Linked DNA regions of Arabidopsis thaliana. The protein of the gene in region 1 purifies or fractionates together with the protein of each later gene. This does not show direct contact. Each region holds a gene or a part of one and is shown on either strand. Other genes may lie near its edges. The genes, in order: AT5G19760, LHCA3, GAMMA CAL2 and GAMMA CAL1.

The links.
Region 2: the proteins of AT5G19760 (region 1) and LHCA3 fractionate together in Arabidopsis thaliana (co-fractionation; one large-scale study listed by BioGRID). This does not show direct contact.
Region 3: the proteins of AT5G19760 (region 1) and GAMMA CAL2 fractionate together in Arabidopsis thaliana (co-fractionation; one large-scale study listed by BioGRID). This does not show direct contact.
Region 4: the proteins of AT5G19760 (region 1) and GAMMA CAL1 fractionate together in Arabidopsis thaliana (co-fractionation; one large-scale study listed by BioGRID). This does not show direct contact.

What each region holds. Positions count from the first base shown.
Region 1 is NC_003076.8:6,677,565-6,684,329, forward strand, and holds AT5G19760 (Mitochondrial substrate carrier family protein), read right to left. Parts: upstream 4,491-6,765; 5' UTR 4,282-4,490; coding exon 4,165-4,281; intron 3,761-4,164; coding exon 3,677-3,760; intron 3,432-3,676; coding exon 3,370-3,431; intron 3,266-3,369; coding exon 2,904-3,265; intron 2,397-2,903; coding exon 2,182-2,396; intron 2,084-2,181; coding exon 2,027-2,083; 3' UTR 1,742-2,026; downstream 1-1,741. Other genes in the region: AT5G19750 (Peroxisomal membrane 22 kDa (Mpv17/PMP22) family protein), read left to right, coding at 114-201, 478-572, 728-800, 891-983, 1,094-1,180, 1,483-1,563; TUA3 (tubulin alpha-3), read right to left, coding at 5,197-5,512, 5,604-6,112, 6,224-6,423, 6,501-6,715. UniProt on the Arabidopsis thaliana protein: Catalyzes the transport of dicarboxylates, such as oxoglutarate, oxaloacetate, malate, and succinate, and of tricarboxylates, such as citrate, isocitrate, cis-aconitate, and trans-aconitate by a counter-exchange mechanism across the inner mitochondrial membrane.
Region 2 is NC_003070.9:22,697,717-22,703,277, reverse strand, and holds LHCA3 (PSI type III chlorophyll a/b-binding protein), read right to left. Parts: upstream 3,386-5,561; 5' UTR 3,127-3,385; coding exon 2,983-3,126; exon of another isoform or gene 2,894-2,982; coding exon 2,832-2,893; exon of another isoform or gene 2,786-2,831; coding exon of another isoform or gene 2,745-2,785; coding exon 2,129-2,744; 3' UTR 1,866-2,128; downstream 1-1,865. Other genes in the region: AT1G61540 (Galactose oxidase/kelch repeat superfamily protein), read right to left, coding at 1-780. UniProt on the Arabidopsis thaliana protein: The light-harvesting complex (LHC) functions as a light receptor, it captures and delivers excitation energy to photosystems with which it is closely associated, here photosystem I.
Region 3 is NC_003074.8:18,031,450-18,037,541, reverse strand, and holds GAMMA CAL2 (gamma carbonic anhydrase-like 2), read right to left. Parts: upstream 2,608-6,092; 5' UTR 2,436-2,607; coding exon 2,042-2,435; intron 1,146-2,041; coding exon 769-1,145; 3' UTR 501-768; downstream 1-500. Other genes in the region: CXE12 (alpha/beta-Hydrolases superfamily protein), read left to right, coding at 1-356; AT3G48675 (egg cell-secreted-like protein (DUF1278)), read right to left, coding at 2,991-3,350; IDN2 (XH/XS domain-containing protein), read right to left, coding at 3,927-4,163, 4,253-4,462, 4,570-4,857, 4,935-5,024, 5,099-5,820, 5,906-6,092.
Region 4 is NC_003076.8:25,421,518-25,427,748, forward strand, and holds GAMMA CAL1 (gamma carbonic anhydrase like 1), read left to right. Parts: upstream 1-2,449; 5' UTR 2,450-2,536; coding exon 2,537-2,918; intron 2,919-3,448; coding exon 3,449-3,529; intron 3,530-3,718; coding exon 3,719-4,095; 3' UTR 4,096-4,354; downstream 4,355-6,231. Other genes in the region: AT5G63490 (CBS / octicosapeptide/Phox/Bemp1 (PB1) domains-containing protein), read right to left, coding at 1-156, 317-453; AT5G63500 (transmembrane protein, putative (DUF 3339)), read left to right, coding at 1,943-2,152; AT5G63520 (F-box/LRR protein), read right to left, coding at 4,783-5,179, 5,266-5,387, 5,461-5,648, 5,832-5,987. UniProt on the Arabidopsis thaliana protein: Involved in complex I assembly in mitochondria and respiration.

The DNA.
Region 1 (6,765 bases):
TTTTCTTGGATGTGTTAATAATTTACTCACGGAACACTTTTTTTCTAGTATGATTCTTTGCTTTTGACTTGAGCATAAACACACTTTGTGTGCCTTTTTCTATGGTGCTTCAGGTACCAGGCTCTTCTCTCAAACTCTCCTGTTTTGACCAAAGCTGTGACCGCAGCACTTTTGAACCTCGTTGGAGATTTGATCTGTCAGGTAACTCTCTCATTTTTGTGCTATCTTTGAAGTTTGGATTCTTCACTATTCAGGATATATCGAGATAAAACAGTATTCATGAGCTGCTGCATTATGTATTTCTGAACAGACAGACTTTAACTTGAATTGTGCTATCTCTTTTTTAAAGTTAGAATGGAAGCTAATAGACCCAAAATACAGGATAATGTAGTAAAGCCCCATTTTCTTTATAATGCTTGATCGTATTCTGCTAGATATGTGAGCGACATTGCTTATTCGTATCACTTTTGGTTGCAGCTTACTATCAACAAGACCTCATCGCTGGACAAGAAGAGGACACTCACCTTTACCTTCTTGGGCTTAGGGCTAGTCGGTCCAACATTGCATTTCTGGTATTTCCGTGGACCTTTCACTCGTATGACACCGCAAAAGCTAACTATATTACGTCTCTGCTAGTGGTTCTTCAGTTGAAGAGACTTATGCATCCATTGGTATATTACTTATGCTTATTCTCTGTTCTCTGAAATCTCTCAACTCCATCCATTAGGTATTTGTATTTGAGCAAAGTGGTGACAGCTTCTGGATTATCAGGCGCAGTTATACGACTTCTACTGGATCAGGTAGCAAAGTTTCCTGTTCCCAGTCTAACAATTATGTTCCCATCTTGCTTCCTCTGTGTTAGCACTTAACACCAAAATTTGTATTTGCAGTTTGTTTTTGCTCCTATTTTTGTTGGAGTTTTCTTATCAGCAGTTGTGACACTTGAAGGAAAACCATCAAATGTCATACCGAAGCTACAACAGGTTGGATTAAAACCTAACTAAACTTAATATTTCCGGTGCAGGAATCTAAATTTGATACTTTGTATCTTTTGCGGTGTTCTAATTGAATCCATGAATTGCTGGTTGTATAGGAGTGGACTGGTGCAATGATAGCAAATTGGCAGCTATGGATACCATTTCAGTTTCTTAACTTCAGATTTGTTCCACAGAACTACCAGGTTTGATACTAAACTCTGTGACTACATGAAACGGGAGTCTGAAAAAAAATACAATTGGGTTAAGATAGATATGCTTCATACATAACGAATAACGACCCACACGCTGTTAATCCTCTGCTTAGTATAATCTTTGAGAATTTATTACGCATTTTCATGTTTTTGAGCCCTTGTTAAAAACATCTTTGACATGATGAGCTTGAGATGAATTACGCTTGAATGACATTAGCTTCTAGCTAGTATGCTTAGCAAGATTTTCTTTGGCTTTGAGGATGAATCGATGTCTTATATATGAATTATTGCAGGTACTTGCTTCAAACGTAGTGGCTTTGGCTTGGAATGTGATTTTATCATTCAAAGCTCACAAAGAAGTTGTTGCAAAGTAGACATGTTTCTTACCTGGAGCCTAGAGGTGGTTGCTGGATTGTTATCGGCAGAGTTTTGGGGAAACGGTCTTGTCTGCTGATGCAAATGTTTGGTGTTTCGAAACAATTATTTGGGAACCCTGCACTTGACATTTTCTTAGAGTTGAAACAAGCTTTTCTTCAAGCACTTCAAATATTTCCCCATCATCAATGTTTCATATATTTATTGTTTCCTCATTCAGAGAATTTTTTTAGTTCGTATGAAAATTTTGAAATCTCTGGCTATGTGTCTTAAACTTCCACCAAAGAAGAAAATTTAAAATTCACCGGACCAATCACCGACCGAAACAAAAAATTAAAGTTCAAACAGCTACAATAATATGCTTTTAAGGCAGGTTATGTATATGATTAAAAAGCAAATGAACACAATTCCAATTGTGTTTTCGTTCTTCTCATCTTATTTTTTTGCTGCTGTATTTGTTCCTCACATACCAATCTTCTTTTGAAATTTCGTAATCTGGTTTAGGAAGATCCATGTCATCTGCCAAAAGAAAACCCGATCAACAACTATCTTAGAGGCAATCACGAAGTGGTAATTACAATAACATAAACAAAAAAGGGAGATAAGAGCTATTATACCATGACGTGAGGGGCAATCCTGACACAGTAAACTGGGAAACCCGAGTAAAATTTCAGAGGTCCTCCTTCTTTTAAGGTTTTCATCGCACAATCGAGCGAACCTGTGTATGGATACTTTCCTTGAGCATCCGGTTGCATTTTCTGAATCTGAGTTTTGACAAAGTCAAATGGCAGACTGCAAGCCGCAGCGCAGAACCCAGAAACAGCACTTGCTCCTGTTAAAGTAAACAAAAACCAAACTCAGAGATCTATTTTAACTACAATTTATCATACAGAGATTACATGACCATATGAAAATACTGATAAAGGTTTCTTGTTAAGTCTAGTGCAGAACTAGTGTAACAAGCCTAGGAAGTTGAGAAAAGTGTAGTTTTGCCAACTGAGCGACCTTACAATTAGTAGCTCTTAAAAGGGAGTAAGGACAACGCAATGGGATCCATTCTGGATTGGTCTTAGATCTGGGTTTGGGCAACGGTTGAGAGTTTAGAGAGTCCTCTCATTAATAAAGTATTTTCCTTGGTGTAGTTCTTGGATAGATTGTATTAAGTGAAATACACATTTAATTTATGACAATCTAACACTCGTGTAATCAGGAGATTATATGCTACAAATGTAAATTTCCAAGACGATTGATTCTTAGGATCCTTGACTCTAACTGCTATCTACCTGCTCACAGAAAAAATATATTCTTACTGTATGAGAAACTTGGAAGAGCAGCTTACCTACGACCGTAGACATCTCCCCGAAACCAAGATTATCTCTCATGTATTCAGCACTTTGATCATAAGATGCAAGCATTCCCATGTTCAAAGCCATAGCTCTGACCACAGTGGGCCCACACCCTTTCCAAAGTGCTAAAACTCCCTCATCAGCGCTAATACGGGTAAGCGCATGGAAAGCATTGGTATAATTCCTGCGCTGAGCTAGCGGCAAAGTATTATCGGCCTGCATTCTGATAAGTGCTAGATCGGCTGGACTACCGACGCAAGCACCAATAGCACCAGCTGTCAGACCACATAGTGCCTTCTGATACAGCGGTAGAGGCTTTCCATCATTAGACTCAATTGCCTTTGCAGTCAGCAACCTAATAAGATTGACAGAAGAGAGGATGATTTATCCATAACCATAAGGCAATAAAAATCTATTCATCTGGATGGGCTCAAGACGAAAGACGAATGACTAACTTACTTGAATGATCCAAGACGGGCTGTCGTGTAAGTTGCTTGCCTCAGCAACCCAGCAGATAATCCCTATTAAAAAAAATTAACATCAAATAAGCTCAGGAGACATCTTCAATGGGGTATAACTAATGTTGTTGTTGGAAAGACTGTTAGATAAGGAAATTAATTCTTTGAATAGCTGAGACTCAGATCCGGAAATGCAGAAATCATATACATTACAAATCAACAAAAGTCATGAACATATCAATAGAAAACATACTACACAAAACGTACATCTTCAAGATAAGTAATGCATCCAGAAATGCAATTTATACCTTGTAGAAGGCACCAACGCCCTCATTCTTAAGCATGTTGGTGGTTATACTGGCTGCAGATCCCTGACCAAGTTGAATCCTCACCTTCACCAACCAGAAACAAAACAAAGTATTAGTTAATTACATTCACATCATTTAAAAATCCTATGAACACAGGCGAAGAATCACACATTGTGATGAACCTAAGAACGTTATTCTAATCAAAATCCAGATCTGAACTAGAACATTTCATCTAAACATGTATCAATAGCAACAATTCACACTCAAACGAGTCTGACTATGTTCCGAGCAATGAAATTTGATTATAATAAGCCAAAACAAAAACTCAGATCTGAGAGATAAAATCTACAGACTCGGATCTGATGAACAACATTTACGGATTTCGTAGGTATCAATACCAGCAAATCAAGCAAGAATTGTTAATACTAACGAGCTTAGACATAGAGATGGGTGATACAGAAACGTGTATCCGTAAACATTTGACAGACCTTAATCATGTCGATCGGCTGGATAACGCAAGTAGCGAGCATACCAGAGGCACCGCCATTGACGAAGGGCTTCACGGTAGTCCAGACACTGATTGGAGCTTTCTTCTCTTCCGCCATCTCTCTCTTTTCTTTTGTTTTCGTACGGACTCAAACGCAACCAGAAGAAGAGATTCCTTCCGCGGAGAAAAAGAGAGAGAGAAAGAGATTCACTTGGTGGAGAGGAGACGATGAAGTGTGAAGCTTATGGGCCTTTTATATTAACACCACCCAACTGAAACTAAATTGCACCAAACCCTTGCCTTTTTAATTTTTATTTTTTTCCATTTGCATATGAGATCTGATCTAAGCCAGACATATTTTCTAAATTTATTAATTTGGACTTTACTTTTCACCATTCGGATTTTACGCAATCCAAATATTTAGAGTTATTTATTACGCATTCATATGAATTTTAGATTTGACATTCGTCCATTTCTAATTTTCTAGTATGAAGTTGAAAATCGTTAGTATTCTGAATTTTTTGGGTCCAATAAATTCTAATTTTTTAAAAAAATTGATCTTCTGTATTTGTATTTTGTATTTGTTCAATAATTTTTGGCATTTTTCACGCCGTATTTTAGATAGTGGACCAGTGGAGCAGTATTTCTGATGCAATTTGATAATTCTGATGCCCTTTTGTGAAGATCAACGTGGTTTGTTAACATTAGTTGAATCTCATAAATGTATTATTAGCTGATACGACAACAAAGCATATACAGAACGTTGATAAACGTTAGCGCACCGATAGACGAGATTATACTTCAAGGAAAAATGGACAGTTGTAAGAAGATTATCAAAGTTTGGTACAACAAAAGCTTGATAATGAACTCGGGAACTCGCAATGGTCGCTCTACCAATGAAAATGTATCCAACCGAGATAAAACACGAAGACCGAACGAATATTTTACAGGATTTAAACAATCAACAGAATCAAAAGTGAAAACAGATAAACGAAAAAACTTTTTTTGGTTGCAGTTTTTTTGAGAAAAGGTGTCAATAGTCTTCACCTTCATCTTCTTCATCGTCTCCACCTTCAGCACCAACTTCTTCGTAATCTTTCTCCAGTGCGGCCAAGTCTTCACGTGCCTCAGAGAATTCACCTTCCTCCATTCCTTCACCAACGTACCAGTGGACAAATGCCCTCTTCGCATACATGAGATCAAACTTGTGGTCGATCCGTGAGAACACCTCTGCAACTGCTGTGTTGTTACTGATCATACATACAGCTCTCTGAACCTTAGCGAGGTCACCACCTGGAACAACTGTTGGAGGTTGGTAGTTGATTCCACATTTGAACCCAGTTGGGCACCTGCAAAACAAAACCCATGCCAAAGGAGTTATTATATAATAACAACATGAAGGTAGAAACAGTAGCAGCTTTATCCATTTCTAGATCATACCAGTCAACAAACTGAACAGTCCTCTTTGTCTTGATGGTGCCAACAGCAGCATTAACATCTTTGGGAACAACATCTCCTCGGTACATCAAACAACAGGCCATGTACTTTCCGTGTCTCGGGTCACACTTTGCCATCATGCTAGCTGGCTCAAAAACGGCATTGGTGATCTCAGGGACTGATAGCTGCTCGTGGTAAGCCTTGGCGGCTGAGATGACTGGTGCATAAGATGACAGCATGAAATGGATACGGGGATATGGGACAAGATTGGTCTGGAACTCAGTGATATCCACGTTGATGGCACCATCAAACCTCAAAGATGTTGTCAAGGATGAAATGATCTGTGATATCAACCTGTTCAAGTTTGTGTAGGTTGGCCTCTCGATATCTAGGGATCTGCGGCAAATGTCATAGATGGCTTCGTTATCCAAGAGGACAGCTACATCCGTATGTTCAAGAAGGGAATGCGTTGAGAGAACACTGTTGTAAGGTTCTACAACAGCAGTAGAAACCTGACATCACAGAGGAATATGCATTAAAACCAAGTTTCATCCAAATTAGACCACTATAGAAACATGTCATGTAAGAGTTTCTACTTCAGTGTCTAGCAAAAGAAAGAGTACCTGAGGAGAAGGGTATATGGTAAAACCAAGCTTAGACTTCTTTCCATAATCTACAGACAAACGCTCTAGCAACAGAGAACCCAATCCAGAACCAGTTCCACCACCAACAGCATTGAACACCAAAAACCCTTGTAAGCCAGTACAGTTGTCGGCAAGTTTCCTCACACGGTCAAGACATAGATCCACAATTTCCTTCCCAACTGCAATTACAAGAAGCATTCTAAGGACCATTTCAAAAACCCTAACAAGTTAGAACAAGCAGAAAGTGGATTCTCACCAGTGTAATGTCCTCTAGCGAAGTTGTTAGCAGCATCTTCTTTCCCAGAAATGAGCTGCTCTGGATGGAAAAGTTGACGGTAAGTACCAGTACGAACTTCGTCGATAACGGTAGGCTCGAGATCAACGAAGACAGCCCTAGGGACATGCTTCCCAGCACCAGTCTCGCTAAAGAAAGTATTGAACGCATCGTGTGCAACACCAACTGTAGTATCACTGCAACAACGCAAAAGACTCGTATCTCAAAAATCTTCCGATCCACAGAA
Region 2 (5,561 bases), on another chromosome or scaffold:
CTCAAAATTGTAAACCACAAACTCACTTCCAAACATGTATATTTTTCCATCAAGACCTAAGCTTTTGACTTCACATCTATATCCAATATCATGTTGATACTCAATGCATGGGTTCTTCAGAGTGCCCCAAGTTTGAGTTTTTGGATCAAACACTTCAATCCAGTACAAGGAACCGATGTCTTCTTTACAGCCTCCTGCTATATATATCTTCCCATCAACTTCACATACTGTGGAGGAACAGCCCCGGGCCACTCGCATTCCTGGAGCCTGACGCCACCTGTGACTCCGACAATCCAGGACAGAGACAGAAGAAGAATAGCGCGTCCTTTTCCAGAGTTTGTGTCTATAAGACTTAGTGCCGCCGATTTTGTAGATATTAGAACCAACGGCTATGACACTCGACGAATGCACAGGAAGTAAACCATTGGGAGATGGAACTTGGACCAGAAGATAGCCACTTGAATTCTCGGCAACGTTTCGATTAGGTTCCCGGCAGAGAGTGAACCAATGCGTGTTCATGTCGTAAGGGAAGCAAAGATAGAGACACTTATCCGTACGGTTTAAGCGTGATCGGATCTCGTAAAGTTCGCGTGAAGTAATGATAGATCGAAAAGTTTTGGAAACGAGGGAGAGAGTTGGATAATACAACCTTGAGACGAGTGAGAAGCAGTTCAATAACAAGTCATAAGGAAGTGACATGATAGAGATTGGTTCTTCTGTCACCGGAGAAGGATACGGCATCTTCTTCTTCCTCTCACGGAGTGGTTTTTCGCCGTTCATGGCGGCGTATGGAAGATCTGGCTTTGGACGTCAATAGGGCAATAACGAAGATTCTTCTTTATCAAGGAAGGAATAATAAGGGTTTCCTTGATTTCAAAAATCGACCAAAACCTAGGCATATAGGCCCAAAGTTAGCATGTAAATGGGCCTTACGGAAAACGTTTTTTGAATTAGGTAAATGAGTCACAAAACTTTTTATATGGATCTGAATCTGGTGGATGAAAATAGTATGAAACAAAATTTGGGATTAATATCGGATATCAAACATTCTTTAGGGGTTAATATGAAAAGCTATCAGATATTATTGTCAGCGGGAGTGACAAATCCTGATCACCGGAAACACTATTTTAGACCGGATCTTCTTACCGGAAATTTGCGTCAGCTTCCCCTAAATGCCGAATTGGCTTCCAGCTGGTTGAATCGGTCAATCTACATACAGTTCAAAAACATTAAGTGTTTACTATAATCGCATGTGGCGTATGCATGCACTTGAACTGTTCGATGAAATGCCTGAACGAGAATGTAGGGTTACAAAGAGTTGGGGTGGTTTCTTTTAGCTATTTGGATCTTGTGAATGCCAGAAGGGTTTTGATAGAAGGGTTTCAGAAATCGCCAGGATTTTTCAGCATAATGACCTTTGAGACTCCAGCGAACTCATGTGATTAGTACAGTGGATGTGGATCTTTTGGTTTGTGTGTGACGCACGTTCCTCCAAAATTTAAATGCTACAAAGGGTTTATATATCCATTAGGGTTTGCAAGTGTTTTGGATGCTGAAGATTGTTACCAGATTTGTCTCCGCAATTGTTCTTGCTTGGCCTTTGTTTATATCAATGGACTAGGGTTCTTTATGTGGAACCAGGACCTAATGGACGCAGTGCAATTTTCTGCTGGTGGAGAACTTCTTTCCATTCGTCTTGCAAGTTCTGAACTAGGTACGGCTTAAAAGATAACACGAAAGAGCTACTTCTTCAATTATAGTTTTGTCTTCAAATCCATTGATAGTGTTTCTCTTTGATAGCACCAACATGGCTTATTGTTAAATTTGTTTTTGTCTTAAATGTCTAAGGTGGTTTGGGAGATACAGAGTGATAAGATGAGACTACTTTTAAAGCATAACAGGTACAGTATTTCATAACATTCTTTGAATATACTAACCGCTTTGTTTGGTTTGCAAATGCCAACTGTTAATCCTAAAAGTTTTTTCGTTTGGCCATTGACATTGTCATTTCTTACAAAACACGAATATGTTTACACAGGGTGTTACAATACGAAGAAGCCAATGGTAGCGAAAGATGGAAATATTGTACGATACAAGAGACATAAAAACACATGAGATGATGATCACCTCAGTGGAACTTGAGGCTGGTCAAGACGTTGTTGTTGACGGGATCAGCCAAGTGATCAAGCAGGTTCTGATAAGGTCCCACACCGGTCACTAGTCCTTGGATAAAGTAACCGAGGATGGCGAGCATAGCCAGTCTACCGTTCTTGACCTCCTTGAGTTTCAACTCCTTCAGTGACTTCTCATCTTTCCCAAACCCAAGAGGGTTGAAGAAAGGTCCACCGGGGTAAGCCGGGTTACCTGAACCGGCCAAACCCTTCTCTAACCCCAAGAAGTACTGTTTTCCCATAGATCCTGGGTTGTACCAGTCCTGTAACCTCCGGTGCTCAGCGAATCCCATCAGAGCCATCTCGAGAACAAAGAGTGTGTAATTGTCTGCCCAGTAAGTGTATGTCCCTGCTGGTGGAATCACACCGGTTTGGAACCAAGGAAGAGCAGTCTCTGCTGGAATCAGACCAGCCTTTCCTAAAATCTCAGGAGCAATAGCTCCAGCTGCACCCAACATGGCGAACCGTCCGTTGATGATCTCTCCGTATGCTAGCCATCTTGGCTCAATGAATCCTCCAGTACCTTCTGGGTCTGAAAGACCAAGAGGGTCGAATCCATAGTCACCAGGTAAGCTGCAAGAAGAATCAGAACATCTCCAAATTTTGAACATCATGAAGTTCTCAAAACAAATAAAATTCCAAAAGTTGTTTGAACATTACCTGCCATCCAAGTAAGAGAGACTCTGCGATGAAGCAAACCACAATGGTCTGTTGGCTCCTTGCTGAAAAACCAAAACACAAAATCAAGATCAGATTATTCAGTACATAGAGAAAGAGAGAGATCTGTGAAAGAATAGAGACTGTCATGTACCTTGACAGGTGGAGTTGCAGCAGCTTTAACAACAAAGGAACTCTTCTTCTGTGAGGCAGACGCAACTGGTTTTGAGCCAAATATCTGTCTAGCTGTCTGAACAGAGGAGGTAAGTGAAGAAGACACAAGTGCTTGTGCTGCCATTTTCTCTGTTCCTCAACTCTTTTCTTCTGTCACCAAGAGATGATGATGATGATGGTTTGGTTATGGTTTGCAAGGGCTATGTTAGGGTAGAAGAAACAAAGGTTCCAAGTACTTGTGGCTTTCAAATAGCCCAACTGGTTTTGCTCAGATTAGATTAGTATCTGCTTCACCAACTATATCTGTCCACGTGGCAATATAAGTTGGATAAGAGATTATGTTATTCTGTTTTTGCTTATCCGCCACACACGAACAAAAAATCTTTACAAAGATGACTATTGGATACAAAAAATACATATGATTTATATAGATTGAAAATTGGAATGGAGATGCACTTGTGTGGTAGAAAAAAATTTTGAACTATTGATTTACGAAAACATTGGAGAGGCTGATACGGTTAAAAAGCATCCATGGTATTTGTTAAACAAGGTTTCCTTAGCATGAATCAGTTCTCAGTTTCTTTTTATACCCAATCAGTTCAAATTTTGATATAACAATTCAACTGATAATAGAGATAAACAAACCATTAATAGTCTGTCAAATACACCAAAGAAAAATCGTGGTAAAACCGAGTTTTAGGCTTGTAGCAACTCTGGATAGGGCAAAGAGAAAGTACATGAATAAAATAGTACTTAATTACTTATTAACTATGTGATCCTTCATCCTTGGGCATTAAGAAACAATTTGTGATGGAAATTGTAAATATTATATTTTTTTTAAACTATTTGTAGTTTTTAAAATAAAAATCTATAATTCTTTTTGATTAAATTATTTTATTAATCAATTTGTAAGAGTTCTTTTTTGGGTTGTTCTATTAAGGTCCTGTTTGTTTGTCCATTTGGATGAACCATCTCAATGAAGATGAAAATTGTTGTTTGTTTTTCATGTTTAAATAGATCATTTGAATGATTCAGTTGAATGTTTTTTTCTAAACTCATCCAAAAAATAAAAAAAATCTGACTGAGTTTGATTTGTTCATTCTGCTGAAGCTGATTCAGCCAAAATTATAAAATGTCAATAATACCCTAATCTAATATATGGAATTACATCCAAAAACCACATCTCTTCTTCACCCTCTCCTCGACACAAAACACTCAAAATTGAGATTCATAGCCGTCAATGATGCTGATTCTTCGCCGGTGATCTCGCCGTCGCCGATTCTTCACTGGAGACTCGTCGGATCCATCGCCGGAGTGTAGTAGGTTTGTGTTTCTCTCTCTCTCTCTCTCTCTCTCTCCCTCTCTCGCTTCCTCTCTCTCGCTCCATGTCTCTCTCGTTGTTTCTCTTTGTATCCTTGTTGCAATCACTTGTTCTTGGGTTTGATCCACCATGGTTACATTGTTTAATTGTGGGTTTGCTTTACTTTGCTTTGTGTTGCTTTTGATTCTTCGATTAGCTTTAGTTTACGGCTTGTGTTGCTTTGCTTGCTTTGTGTTGCTTTTGAGTCTTCGATTTGCTCTTAAGAGGCTTTGTTGTCTCTACATTAGGAGCAACAGAACCATTTGGTGCTGCCACTTTAGCATCTGCACTTTAGCCCTCTTTAGATTGACCATCCATAGTTACAAACTTCAGCTGCCTCCTTGACGTGTTCAATTGCATCCAAAGTGGAATTGTTTTTGTGTTTATAGGTCTTTTGTATTTTTGATGCAGAAAGCTAGGATCCAGATTGTGTTATCTGATTTGTTTTGAGATACAATGATTGATGATGTTGTGACTCGTGTATAGCTCATTGATAAAAAACTTTGCATTAGTCTCTATTTAGTCTCGAAGAACAAGTTTGGCTCTGAGTTTTGTTGATTGATGATGTTGTGACTCGTGTATAGCTTATAACTGCTTATTTATACGGGAGAATTTCATCTTATAAAAGATTTTTTCTCTTCAGTCCTTGTTTCAGCAAGTTTTGTCTCCAAGTAAGAAAGCTTTGGTTTCTCAGGTACGTCCTCTGTAATTAGTGGTTGCATTTGGCTTTCTGTAGTAGTAGCATGAGTTCGTCTAAGGTTTGAGTTCAAATACTGTAGAAATAGTCAAGAATAATATCTCATGATTGTTCAATATCAAATAGTTTTTCTTTGCTTTGTTATCTCTAATCTTTGTACACGTTTTATTTGCTTTGCTTTGTTATCATAAGTTGTGTATTGTTTGCTTTGTTATCTCTGATCTTTGTTTTATTTGTTTGGTATCTTTGATCTTGTTCTAACACAACTACAAAACGTTTGTTTTCATTGTGTGCTACAGATGACAACTATCAATGGTACCGATGTGAGTATATTTTCCTCTAAACTTAGATTTACTGTAACATTTTCTGTAATTTAGACTGATTTTGTACAAAAACACATGATCAACTAAGAATCTTGCGTGGAATGATGAGCAAACTCGTTTCTACCTTGAACTAAGAATTGAGGAGAAGCTTAAAGGAAATATTAGGAATCAGAATGTCA
Region 3 (6,092 bases), on another chromosome or scaffold:
AGAAGGATACGAAAGATGAAACGTTGAGGATGAAGATAGAGGCGTTTTGGATGATGGCAAGTCCTAATAGCAAAGATGGAACAGATGATCCGTTGCTCAACGTGGTGCAATCAGAGTCGGTGGATTTGTCTGGGTTGGGTTGTGGTAAGGTTTTGGTAATGGTGGCTGAGAAAGATGCGTTGGTGAGGCAGGGTTGGGGTTACGCGGCTAAGCTTGAGAAGTCTGGTTGGAAAGGAGAGGTTGAAGTGGTGGAGAGTGAAGGAGAAGATCATGTTTTTCATTTGTTGAAACCTGAATGTGATAATGCTATTGAAGTCATGCATAAATTCTCAGGGTTTATTAAGGGAGGGAACTAGCTTTGTGCTCTCTAGAGATATTGGAATAATTTGGTACTACATATTTTAGTTGCGTCTCTCAGTTTCTGTAATGTTTCAGTGATTGGCTTTTCGCCCAAAGCAACACAATAAAAATTGAAGATGAAAATATTTTAGTACGAGATGTTTAATTCTATAACACTACGAGATTATTAGCTTTTCCAATTGTGAGGGGAGACGAAAGAAGTTTTACACTTTCCAGTTTTCACCATTATCATCTTCATAGAAAGTTTGAACACAAGGATATGAACTTAAACAAAACAAACAGAGAAGACAACATTTGAAACACAGCTCTGCTCTTTTTCTTGTTCCGCAGCTACTTATTCAGATCAAATTCCGAAAACGAAGAAGCTTTCTTAATGAGGGAAGTAGCCAGAAACCTGGAAGAAGCTTTCTAGATGGCGATTCCAAGGGATTTCTTGAACTTCTCAACCTCTAGATAGATAGTTGAGTAAGGCAAGAACTCTGAGAAGTAATCTCCACTTAGGTGGTTAATGGCAACAGCAAGTTTCGGGATCTCTAAGGTTTCTTCATTGGTGAGTGTTCGAATAAACCTTGCTGGATTGCCTCCCCATAGTTCACCAGATGGGATTCTTCTGCCAGGTGGTAAAACAGAACCAGCTTCTAGGATTGAGCGGGTTTCGACCAGTGAACCTTCCATTAGGATTGAGTGTTGCCCGATGATGCATTCTGGTTCGATAGTGCATGATCTTAAAAGACTGTATGCACCAACTGTCACGTACCTATCGATCAATGTTTGTGCTGGTAATCCTGAAAAAAATCAAAGTAGAAAGTATCTTCTAAGATCAGATTTTTATCTATCATATCAAAATTCAAAAGCAGCACCACAGTATGCTCTATCCTTCAAGATGTTAGTATAGAAAAAGCATGAAGACTGGTTGATAATACAGAGCTATTAACCCGAAAAAATGGTGAATCAAGTAATTAAGTACTAGTTGTAAACTACAGCTTAATCAAACCAGGAGGCTGTTGAACTAAAGACTTTGACACGGAATCCACCTTGGTAAGACTAAAAGACGCTTATGTTCATTCAGCTTGACGCAGCTTCAGAATCTCGGTTCCAACCACTGAATATAATATCAACTTTCTGCAAAATTCTCTCCGCATAACTAAAAATCTTTACTATGACATAGTTCCTGAAACTTCTCCAGAGCTGCTAGGCAACTTTCTACAACTAAACAAGATGGTCTCCACCATGCTAATCTATTCAACCCCTGAATTACCTAAATTTTAAAATCAAGCACATATCATCAATGGGTTTCTTGCTTCCAATATCACTAATCACCTAAAGAACTACGCAATTCTATGCATCCTTGTCTAGCTAAACGCAAAATGCTCTGAAGATTAACTTTACTGAACAAATATCATTCATGATTCTTGATCTGGGGACATCTTCACTCCAAACAAATATGCTTACTTACACTTCACTACTTCAGATAAAAGTGTAAAATCTCCTTAAAGGTGAGACTCTACATTTTCCATAATCAAAATGGAAGATGAAAATGAAAACCCTAAATTCCAATATCAATGATTCCATTAGCTAGCAAGCAGTAACTACAGCAATTGGATATCCAGAACTCAAACTAGAAGCTACAATGGAACCATACAGAGACTCAAATTCCGAAAAAATGACAAAGAACAAGAACCTGTAGGCGACGACCACGCAGCATGAACAACACACCGTTCCTGGACATTTGAGCAGAATCCAACGGTGATCTTATTAAGATCTCCTCTCAAAACGGCACCGTTCCATACAGACGAGCCGTCCCAGACGGTGACCTGACCAGCCAACACAACGTTAGGTGCCACGTAAGCATCTACAGCTACCTTCGGTAGCCACTGTCCCAGAGGAATTATCTGTCTCTGGCCTCTGTAGTCCCATTTTACCCGATCCGGCGACGGCGTCACCTGCGATTTCGGTTTAGGTGTTTCCGTCGTCGCCACCGCTACTGCTTCCGCGGCGAAGTAACGCCGAATCAGATTCGATGAAACAGCCGATGTTATGCTTCTTTTAGAGATTCGTGCTAACGAAGTCGCCATTGTTATGGAATCGGATTCTTCAAGGTCTTGTGTAGAGAGAGAGAGAGAGAGACAGAAAGCTTCCCGGAGGAGGAGACAGAGAGGAGTCGTCGGGAGATTCTTCAAAATCTGAAAAATGAAACTATTTGGAAAGTTTTATTGGGCCTTATGGGCTAAGTTAATAGAGGCCCATTAGTCATGCCATTGTCTGCAACAAGTTTCATGTACGATATAATCTTTTTGGTATGGTATTGATATGCGTTCGTGTTCGTCGTTTTTACAAATTTTAAATGCTGAAATATGTTTTATTCCATAGTGTAAGAACAATATTTTCATATATAAACGCAAACAAAATTTTGTTTATGTTATAACCACTCTTTTAACAAACTACATGGCAAACACATACGAGTACATCAAAAAGCTTAGCTTTGTTTATTTTAAGCTAAAGATTACAAAAAAAAAAAAATTACTGCAAGGAGAATTTTGGATTATTGGGCATTGTGATCTCTCAAATCGATAAAAGAACTTCTTAAACCTCGAAGCTAACAACTGGCTCGCAACATTTGTGTGTAGCCTTCACTTGTGTGTTGATGATGGAGTCGTAGCAATACGCTCGCAGTTGTTCTTGAGAATAGGAGGGAAGAATGGGTTCAATGGAAACATATGTGGCCAACAGTTTGTATCTATAGCTGAAAACGTTTTACAACATGGGGCTTCAATGCTAGCAAACTGACCAGAAAATATCGATTTGTAGATTTCTTGTACACATCCTTGGACGTTAAAGAGAGATGACCAACATTTTATGATATCAATAGGAAGACCCGGTGGGAAAAGTCCGGGGATCGTAGGGAGTGCTTGAGAGAACCCTGGCCTCACTTGAAGAACAATGGTCATAGCTAAGATCACAAAGAGAATAGCTCCTGAGTTGTTTTCCATCTCTCTCAAGCCGGTTTTCTTCTTTCTCCTTTAAGGTTCTTTGCAATGATGTAGATGATTTTGGCTATATTCACGAAACTTAGATTTATAGGGTTATAAGATGAAAACAGTGTTAGCATAATAAGGAAGGGGTCAATATCAAATTTGACTACAAAAAGTAACTCATGACAAAGTTTGTTTTTACAATAAAAGGTTCTAAATGACATGCTTAAGATATGAGACAGAAGAGAGGCCAAATCTAGTTGTTTTACATGTGAATTATATTACAATGATATTTTTATTTCTTATTGTCCAAAGCGGCCAAACTCCTACAAATGTTACAATGAAAAGAACCGATGCAAGACATCAAAGTTGTGTCAATTATTCACTAAGTTCTGAGAAGAAAAACAAACAGAATCCACCAAAGTTTGGTCAAACCAAACACATTTCTCTGCAACTAAAAACCGCATCGGCTTTTTATTCAGTCCCATGTCCATCATCTTGCAGCTGCAAACCATCAATCGAAATCCTATATTAGCAAATAACAATTGCAAATGAAAACATATTTTTGTTCGGTTATCAAAAATGGTTAAACCTCTAAGCCATTCCACGCTTGCGTTTCGCCTTTTCCCATTGATCAAGTAAACAAGTGACACCTTCTTCAAGTGTAGCCTTCTTATCTGCTTTGAAGTTCCATAGCTCTGTTGTAATATACCTTCCACTCGGGTTATACTCGTTTATCTCCAACAAAGCTTTCGTGACCGCATTGTAAGGACCATCTCCCAAATCTGCCTTTAGCTCCCTCAGCTTTTCGTCTCTATCATCTATCACTTCCTAAACACAATTAACAACAACACCAAAAAAGCTTTTTAATCTTTCAGAGAGATTCAACATAACAAACAGAGTCAAGAAGGCGGTCTTACCACTTCTCTATCTTCATTTTCGAGCTTGACCCGCTTGAATGGATGCCAATCTGAATCTTTGAGATAGTGTTCCCAAAGTTGGAGAACTTCAACTGCTCGGTCCTCCACATCTTGCTGACAATACTTCTGCTGCATTGCATCCACGAATGGTTTCGTCACGAGCTCTCCCATTCTCTTAACACCGATATTTGTGTTCCATTCTTTCATAATCTATGAAGGCACATGAAACAAACAAAACCAAGATTTTAGTAAAATGTCAAGCTTTCTCATAGCTTTTCGATGTGATTGAAAAGAACAACACTTTGAATGATACATACGTTTACCAATTCTTTATGAGCTTCTTGAAGCTCATCGTTGGTCCTGCGCTCTCTAAGGATAAGAGTTTGGTTAAATTTATCGAGATCTGCGAGTTGTGCTTCCTTCTCACCTAAATCTTTGAAGATGATGTCCACCTCTTTCACAACTTCAGCATCGCCATCTGATGCCATGTGCTTCATCACATTGAGCTGTCCTTTCAACTGCTCAACTTCTAGCTCAATCGCTTGTTTCTGATCTCTCTGTCTTTCTAGTCTTATGATTTTCTCATGAAGCTCCTCCTTTTGCCTCTGTTAGGTACAGAATTTTCTCAGTAATCACGAAAATAAGCCCAACCATTTTTACAAAGAAGAAGAAAGTCACTAACCCTTTGGTCTTCAGCAAGTTTTTTAACTTCCTCGTCTGCCTTTTGTTGTTCCATGGCAGCTAGTTCAAGAGAGCTATTCTTAGATGCATTCTGATAAGAGAAAAAAACCAATTATTTCTTGAACATATATCTTGAAAAGAGAGATACAGAGAGTAAATGGATACCTGTTCAAGATCTTCAGACAATTTCATTCTCTCGGTTCCATTGTGCACTTCGCGCTTTGCCAACTCATTACATTTGATTTCGAGTTTCTTCCTCTCTGACTCCAACAGCCTCTTCAATTTCTCATGATCATCAACTATCTTTTGAATGTGACTCATTGTTCTTTCTTGTATAGCATTCAGCTCACGGTAATGCTTTTGCTGATTCTTCTCCTTCTCTTCCATCAACTGATTAAGTTCCTCTGACTTAACTGAACAAAGCTCCTCAATCTCCTTCATGTCTTTTTTCTTCTCTTCTACAAGTTGTCTCAGGTTCTGCACAAGCAATTCCTGTTTCCTCGCCTCTTCTTCCGTAAGCTCAGCTATAGTTTTCAGATCACCCGTCTTCCTCAAGTTTTCTCCAATAATATTATTACCGTTATAATCATCAGCACGAGCAATCCAACCGTAAAGACCTAACTTGGGACCGTCTTTCTTCAACCAGTCCTTCTTCCCATGACCATCTACTGTATAAGCCTTGTCAAACAAAAGACCATTGTGAAGTCCATTCCAATCTTTGTTAAACTCCACAATAGCTGTTCCTGAATGTCCCAAGTAGTTCCATAAAGGACGAACTCTAGTCGGGTTAAATCCTCTTAGAATATACTCATCCCTTAGCTTCGATCCACTCTCGCCCGCAGATCGACCATCTTGTGCCTTTGTAGTTGGAATATTCACCACAATACCTGTTTCAACCACATATACACAAACACTAAACACACATTGCAGTACAATCTTAAGGAGAAAAGTAAGAACCTTTAAAGTGTGTACCTTTCCAAGGATACACAAGCTTCTCGTCATGATCACAATCTTGAATAGGGTTTCCGTTTTTCTGACGCTTTGATGAAGGCTCTGCTTCTGAAGCTGAATCAGCAAGATCTTGTTGAAGGTATTTGACAAGAGCAAGGTGACTTGCTTTCTCCTTTGCACTTCTTTTATCAGAATTGCTATTACCAAC
Region 4 (6,231 bases), about 19 Mb from region 1:
CCACAAAGCATTTCATTAGAGTCAGTCAACAACAAGGCATCAACTCGTCGTGAAGCCATCCTTTTACAAGCTTCATATATAGTTGTTGTTGCTGGTACTGTAAGTGCTTTCGATAGCCTTAACCGTTTCACAGTCCGCTCGCCTCCTGTTAAACCCCTGCTCCATATACAGATGAGAGAAAAAAGTTAAAACCAAATCACAATAGCTTCAATGGAAAAGAAATAAGGTAAACCTGAGGAGCTAGATGTTCTCTATGAATTGAATACGAGCATAAACTAGGGTTTATATATAAGATTGAGACCCAGCTGAGACTTACAAAGGAGAACGAGAAACAGTAAGAGATCTCCGGCCAGTATCGAGACCTCGTTCGGCCATATCCATGGATTTCTTCTTTCCGTGCAATGACGCAGTCGTAACGGATAAGCTCCGTCTTGGCCCGCCTTGGCTAGCCATATCTACTGTATGATATAGAAAAAATCAAACCCTTGTAATCGTCAACGCTTACGAAATGATTACCAAAATTCGAATAAGGAAAGTTTTTCTGGAATCGAAACTAAACAAAACGCCAAAAAACAAACACTAATAAGAATCAGAAAACTCGTGAAATCAAAGCTATTACCAGGCGGATTCGTCGGGTCAACAAATGGATTCTGGGATTGAAAAAACTGAGCTACACCAAGTTGGGATTAGTTCCGTTTCGTAGATGCTCTCTTCTCTCCTTTCTCAAAATGTTCGTGAGACAGATAACGGCAAGAGAGAAAACGACGATTTGTGAGACGAGAAAGATTACAGAGATTCTCCCGGGAAAGTGACGGGAAAATGTAAGAAAATTAGAAAGCAAGAAATATTCTGTGATTTTTCTCTCTGAAAAACACGTTTTATTTTGCGATTTTCACCCAATCGGATTCTTTGATTTCGATGCTCTGTCGAATTGGACGATCGCTACCTTTTTTTTTTTTGGTCTTTGCTTTTTTTTTTGGGGGGGCAATATATTGATTTCTTATATCTGGTTATTGACACTTATATCCTCAATATTTGAGAACTATGACAAGTGGATCAAAGATTTGTTTCTCATTTGGCAAAGGGTTTTATCGTCATTAGCTATTTATGGTCATTATTACACACGAGTTGATACTTTTTCTGGATTTTATTTTTTATATGTTGATTATTGGATTTGCCTTTTACTCTTTCTTCTTAGCATTTGGATTTTTTTTTTTCCTTTTTTTTGGACAAATTGGATTTCGTCTAAGACAGAAAATTCAAACTGATTTTTTCTTAAAACAGGTTAATTTAATTAGGATATTAAAAGTTCTGTGTTCTATCTGGATAAAAACGTGTAGACTAAAAACAAAATGAAAATAAAATATCCATTCTGTCTCATTTTCAGTTTCTTACAATGTATTTAAGGATTTGTTCCATCCATGGTTGTGAAATCTGTGTGAACCAAAAAAAAAAAAAAAAACAGAAATTTTAATATTCAAACTTTATATTAATTGTTGAATATTTCAATGTTAAAAACAGTGAAATGAATCAATGTCACAACAGTTTTGACCAAAAGGAAAAAGAATTGGTGTCACAACAATTTTGACCAAAAAAAGAAAAGAATTGAGGTCACACTCACAACAATAGTCAATAACCAAAGCTACTTTAGCTTCATGGATATGGACCAAACATAAGTTATGAATTATAATACTGGGCCGAAAACTCAAAGCCCATATGTATAAGATTCACGTTGTTCGAAATCTTTTCCCACTAAACAATAATTTTATAATTAAACCTAAAGTATGTCCACGTGGATACCATCAATTGGTTCACCACAGCATTAGCTTTCACATCACACGAGAAGCTTCGTCTCTAACTAAAACCAAAAATACTCCAGCTCCTTCACCACTCTCTATTTCTCTCTCCAAATTCATTTCTTCTCTCTTTAAGACAAGAAGTTATGGCGGATTGGGGCCCAGTGTTGATCGCCGTGATCCTCTTCGTAGTTCTATCGCCGGGGCTTCTTTTCCAGATTCCGGCGGGAGGTCGAGTTGTCGAATTCGGTAATATGCAGACGAGTGGCGCTTCGATTCTCGTTCACGCCATCATTTTCTTTGGTCTCATCACTATCTTTACCATCGCCATAAACGTCCACATCTATTCCGGTTAACTGTTTAGCCAGACAAACCGGTGCTGCTTGGTTTTATTTCAATTTGATTGTAAGGTCTGGATTTGTTTTGTTTGTAACATTTTCGGATTTGTGAATATAATCAAAATTTCACCAAATGATACAACATCCAGTTTTGTTTTTGAATCTGGTATCAATCTGTAGAGTTTGTTTGGGATCTGGTTTAATTTGGTTTTCAAATGCTACTTGACACCTAATGTACATCCACCTAATAAGTGAAACGACGACGTTTTACTATTATTGGGCCTGTGGTCCGTTAAAAAGCCCAATATGCTGTATCTCGTTTAATTTCAGGTGAATCTTTCGACGACCACTCTCTCTCTTTTCCTCTTTGCAAATCCTTGAAGAAATCCAAAATCCATAGCAATGGCGACTTCGATAGCTCGATTGTCTCGGAGAGGAGTCACTTCTAACCTGATCCGTCGTTGCTTCGCTGCGGAAGCGGCGTTGGCGAGGAAGACAGAGTTACCTAAACCGCAATTCACGGTGTCGCCGTCGACGGATCGTGTGAAATGGGACTACAGAGGCCAACGACAGATCATTCCTTTGGGACAGTGGCTTCCGAAGGTAGCCGTTGATGCTTACGTGGCACCCAACGTTGTGCTGGCTGGTCAGGTCACAGTCTGGGACGGCTCGTCTGTTTGGAACGGTGCCGTTTTGCGCGGCGATCTCAACAAAATCACTGTTGGATTCTGCTCGAATGTACAGGAACGGTGTGTTGTTCATGCCGCCTGGTCTTCCCCAACAGGTTATTGCTTCCTTCCTTCCATTTTCAAAAAAAATTGTGTTCTGATTATCCAATTTTTTGTATGGAATCAAGACAATGTTGATTGGGATTTAGGGGTTTTCATTGTCCATTTTCAGTTATGAAAAGCTTATTGAAGAGTCGAGAACTTATATGGACAATTAAGTAAATTGGTTCTGCATAATAGTGTTCTCTCGAGTACAGATTTTCTTGCTTGAAGAATCGTCCAGTGAACTGTGGCTGTGGCTATTGTTCTTACTCTTTTGAGCATAATGAGTTTTAACTTCGCCGATTATGTGTGTGGAAACGTGTTGTTCTTTAGGTGATTAGCATTACAGGAATCAAGAAACTAACTGAAGATTGAGCTTAATATTGAGAGTTGAATAGATTAGCGTAGTACCACACACGATCATCTTGTGTAGTAGTAGGAAGTTTCTTAGCAGAAATTTGGGAACAATGTCTCGATAAAAGGATTTTGGTTTTTTTAATGACTTATGCAAGGATTTGGTTTTCTGGTCACTCGTGACTGGAAGTGGGATGCAATGGTGATAAAGCTGTATCACATGGATGTGAACTTGTTTTTGCTCCAAGGTTTAGACAAGGGAAGTTTTCAAGTAAAAACATTTGAAGAGTGACCATTCTGGTTTGATAGGGTCTGCTGAATTTTATTTGACCCGGAACAGTATCTATTCAACTTGTCACATTGATGAAACTATTTGTTTATCTTTCAAGGCTAAATTTATATCTTGGTTCTTTTTTTACATCACAAATTTGATTCTGGGGTATCTATTTTAAAATTTCAGGATTACCAGCAGCGACAATAATCGACAGGTATGTGACAGTAGGTGCCTACAGTCTTCTGAGATCATGTACCATCGAACCAGAGTGCATCATCGGTCAACACTCAATACTAATGGAAGGCTCACTGGTTGAGACCCGGTCAATCTTGGAAGCGGGTTCAGTTGTGCCGCCAGGAAGAAGGATCCCATCAGGTGAACTATGGGGAGGCAATCCAGCAAGATTCATTAGAACCCTAACCAACGAAGAAACCCTAGAGATCCCAAAACTCGCTGTAGCCATCAACCACTTAAGCGGAGATTACTTCTCTGAGTTCCTACCTTACTCAACTGTCTACTTAGAGGTAGAGAAGTTCAAGAAGTCCCTTGGGATCGCCGTTTAGAAGCTTCATCTTTTTCGTGATTCACTTTCATGTGTTTATCTATCATATGAGGTCTTTCTCTCTGCATATTGCAATAAGTAGCTGATGAACATCAAAACAAGTCCGGCTCTCTTTTTTGGTTCTAAAACGTTTGTCATTTCGTTTTTTGGGTTCTTTGTAAAATTCCATTTAAAACTGATTTTGGCTGAATATTGTCTGAATGATAATGGCGACGACTTCTGGTTTTGTTGTTGTGAGCAATTAAACAAAACAAATAACTAAACTAAATGGTTTTTCGTTATTTGGGATCACTAAAAGGAACATTGTGTAGAAGAATTAATTATACAGGACTTGTGACGTTTTATTTGACAGAATGAAGAACGTAGGTCAAACTAAAATTATGTAATGGAATTTACTCAATATGGGTTACATTTTGAAAATCTTTAAAATTCTTCCGTTGCTTGTAGGTTATAAACATATAACTCATGTCTAATTAATTCGTAAATCAACACCCTTTTGTTCTCACTCTATAAATTCAAAGTTCCTGCACATAACCAAATCATCAAAGTGAAAAGAAGCAAGAAAAATAAGAAAGAGATAAGATTAATAAGAGATGGAAAGCAAAGCAAGAGTTATTGCCTCCTTAGTCCTAGTTGTAGTTAACTTATCATTCTCTTAATAAGCATAAAACAAACAGACACCTTAATATTAAGATGTATACGAGACAATAAGATATACCGAACTATAAACGTGAAGAAATCTTTGGATGCTCACTTCTTTCTTTTCCTCTCCCTCCTCCAAGATTAAGCTGCGTCCGATTTCACCATCGCAGAATATACCGCCAAACGGTAACTCCGGGAAGTTCTCTAAAAACGGTGAGCTGTCTGCGTTTGGACAACCAAAGAAGGAATCACCGCGACAGCTACCGACGAAAGCAAAACCTCCAACGACTTCCGGTTTATTCGGCTTAGACTTGAGATTTCTAAGTTGAGCAGAAACATCATTTAGTGCTGCTTCAGCCACTTTGAGATCAGGGAGGTATACTTGGAATTGGTCGCCGGTTTTGATTCCGGCACCATCAACTAAAAGATCCTGATCGTCAGATCTGAGTAAGCAAACCAAAAAAAAAAAAACTTAGATGGGTCAAAAGGGACAGATTCATGTTATGATACTTGTTGATCCGATCGTTACCCATTCACTTGATGAAATACAAGGGAGGACATGATTTTTGGCTTCTCCTCCAAACCAATTGAGTATTTTCTACGTTTTATTACTCCGAGGTATGAATCATTCTCCCAGATATAGTTTTCTAGCTGCAAATTTCAAGTCAGTTAAGTAACCAAACTGATTTCAGGATTAGATAAAAGATTGGCTTCAGATGCTTACAATATTATCTATGTCATCTAGAATTTGATCGCCATCAAGAACCTCTGCTTCTCCTCTTCTTTTGGCAGTCAGAAGCGTCGAAGGACAACTAGGGCCGAGGCTAACATTGACATTAGCCGCCTTGTACCTCAGATCAACCGATGACATTCCATTTGATATTGCAGTGTCAAACTGAATTCTTTCAGCCTCTGCTTCATTTAGTTCAACAAGTTGAGTAAAATGAAAAGAAGAGATTTTAATCGGAAACACATAACCAGCACAACATGAAAGAACGATGCTGAAATATTTAACCTAGCATAGTAAAGATAAAGTGTGTCTCTCGATGTACTGTAGTTTTTTAAGAAACTAATATTAAAACCACGGAAACTTACGAGCAGGTCTGTGTCTATCTCTTGCAAATATTAAGCCAGCGAGAACTCTGATATCATCTTTCTGCAACTGAACATTTCTTGGTTCATTACCACGTTTATGTAAAAACTCGCCAATTTGACCACCCACAATAACAGTCTCAGCAGGCATGGCATAATCTGCAATGCAAACAAGCTTCATTAACAAGTTTTCAGGCACCGTAATTTCTATATATTACCAAAATGGTAGTTATGTTTTTCAGATTCTAGCCAGAGCAAAATAAGTGAAAATAAGAGGTAGGCAACCTAGACAACCAACCAACAAAATAAAAATGTTTCAAGAAATATTTGTTTTGTCTTAATAGATTTTTTCACTTGTCACGAAGTAACATTGAAAAGATGTACCATAAGGCAGTACTCATAC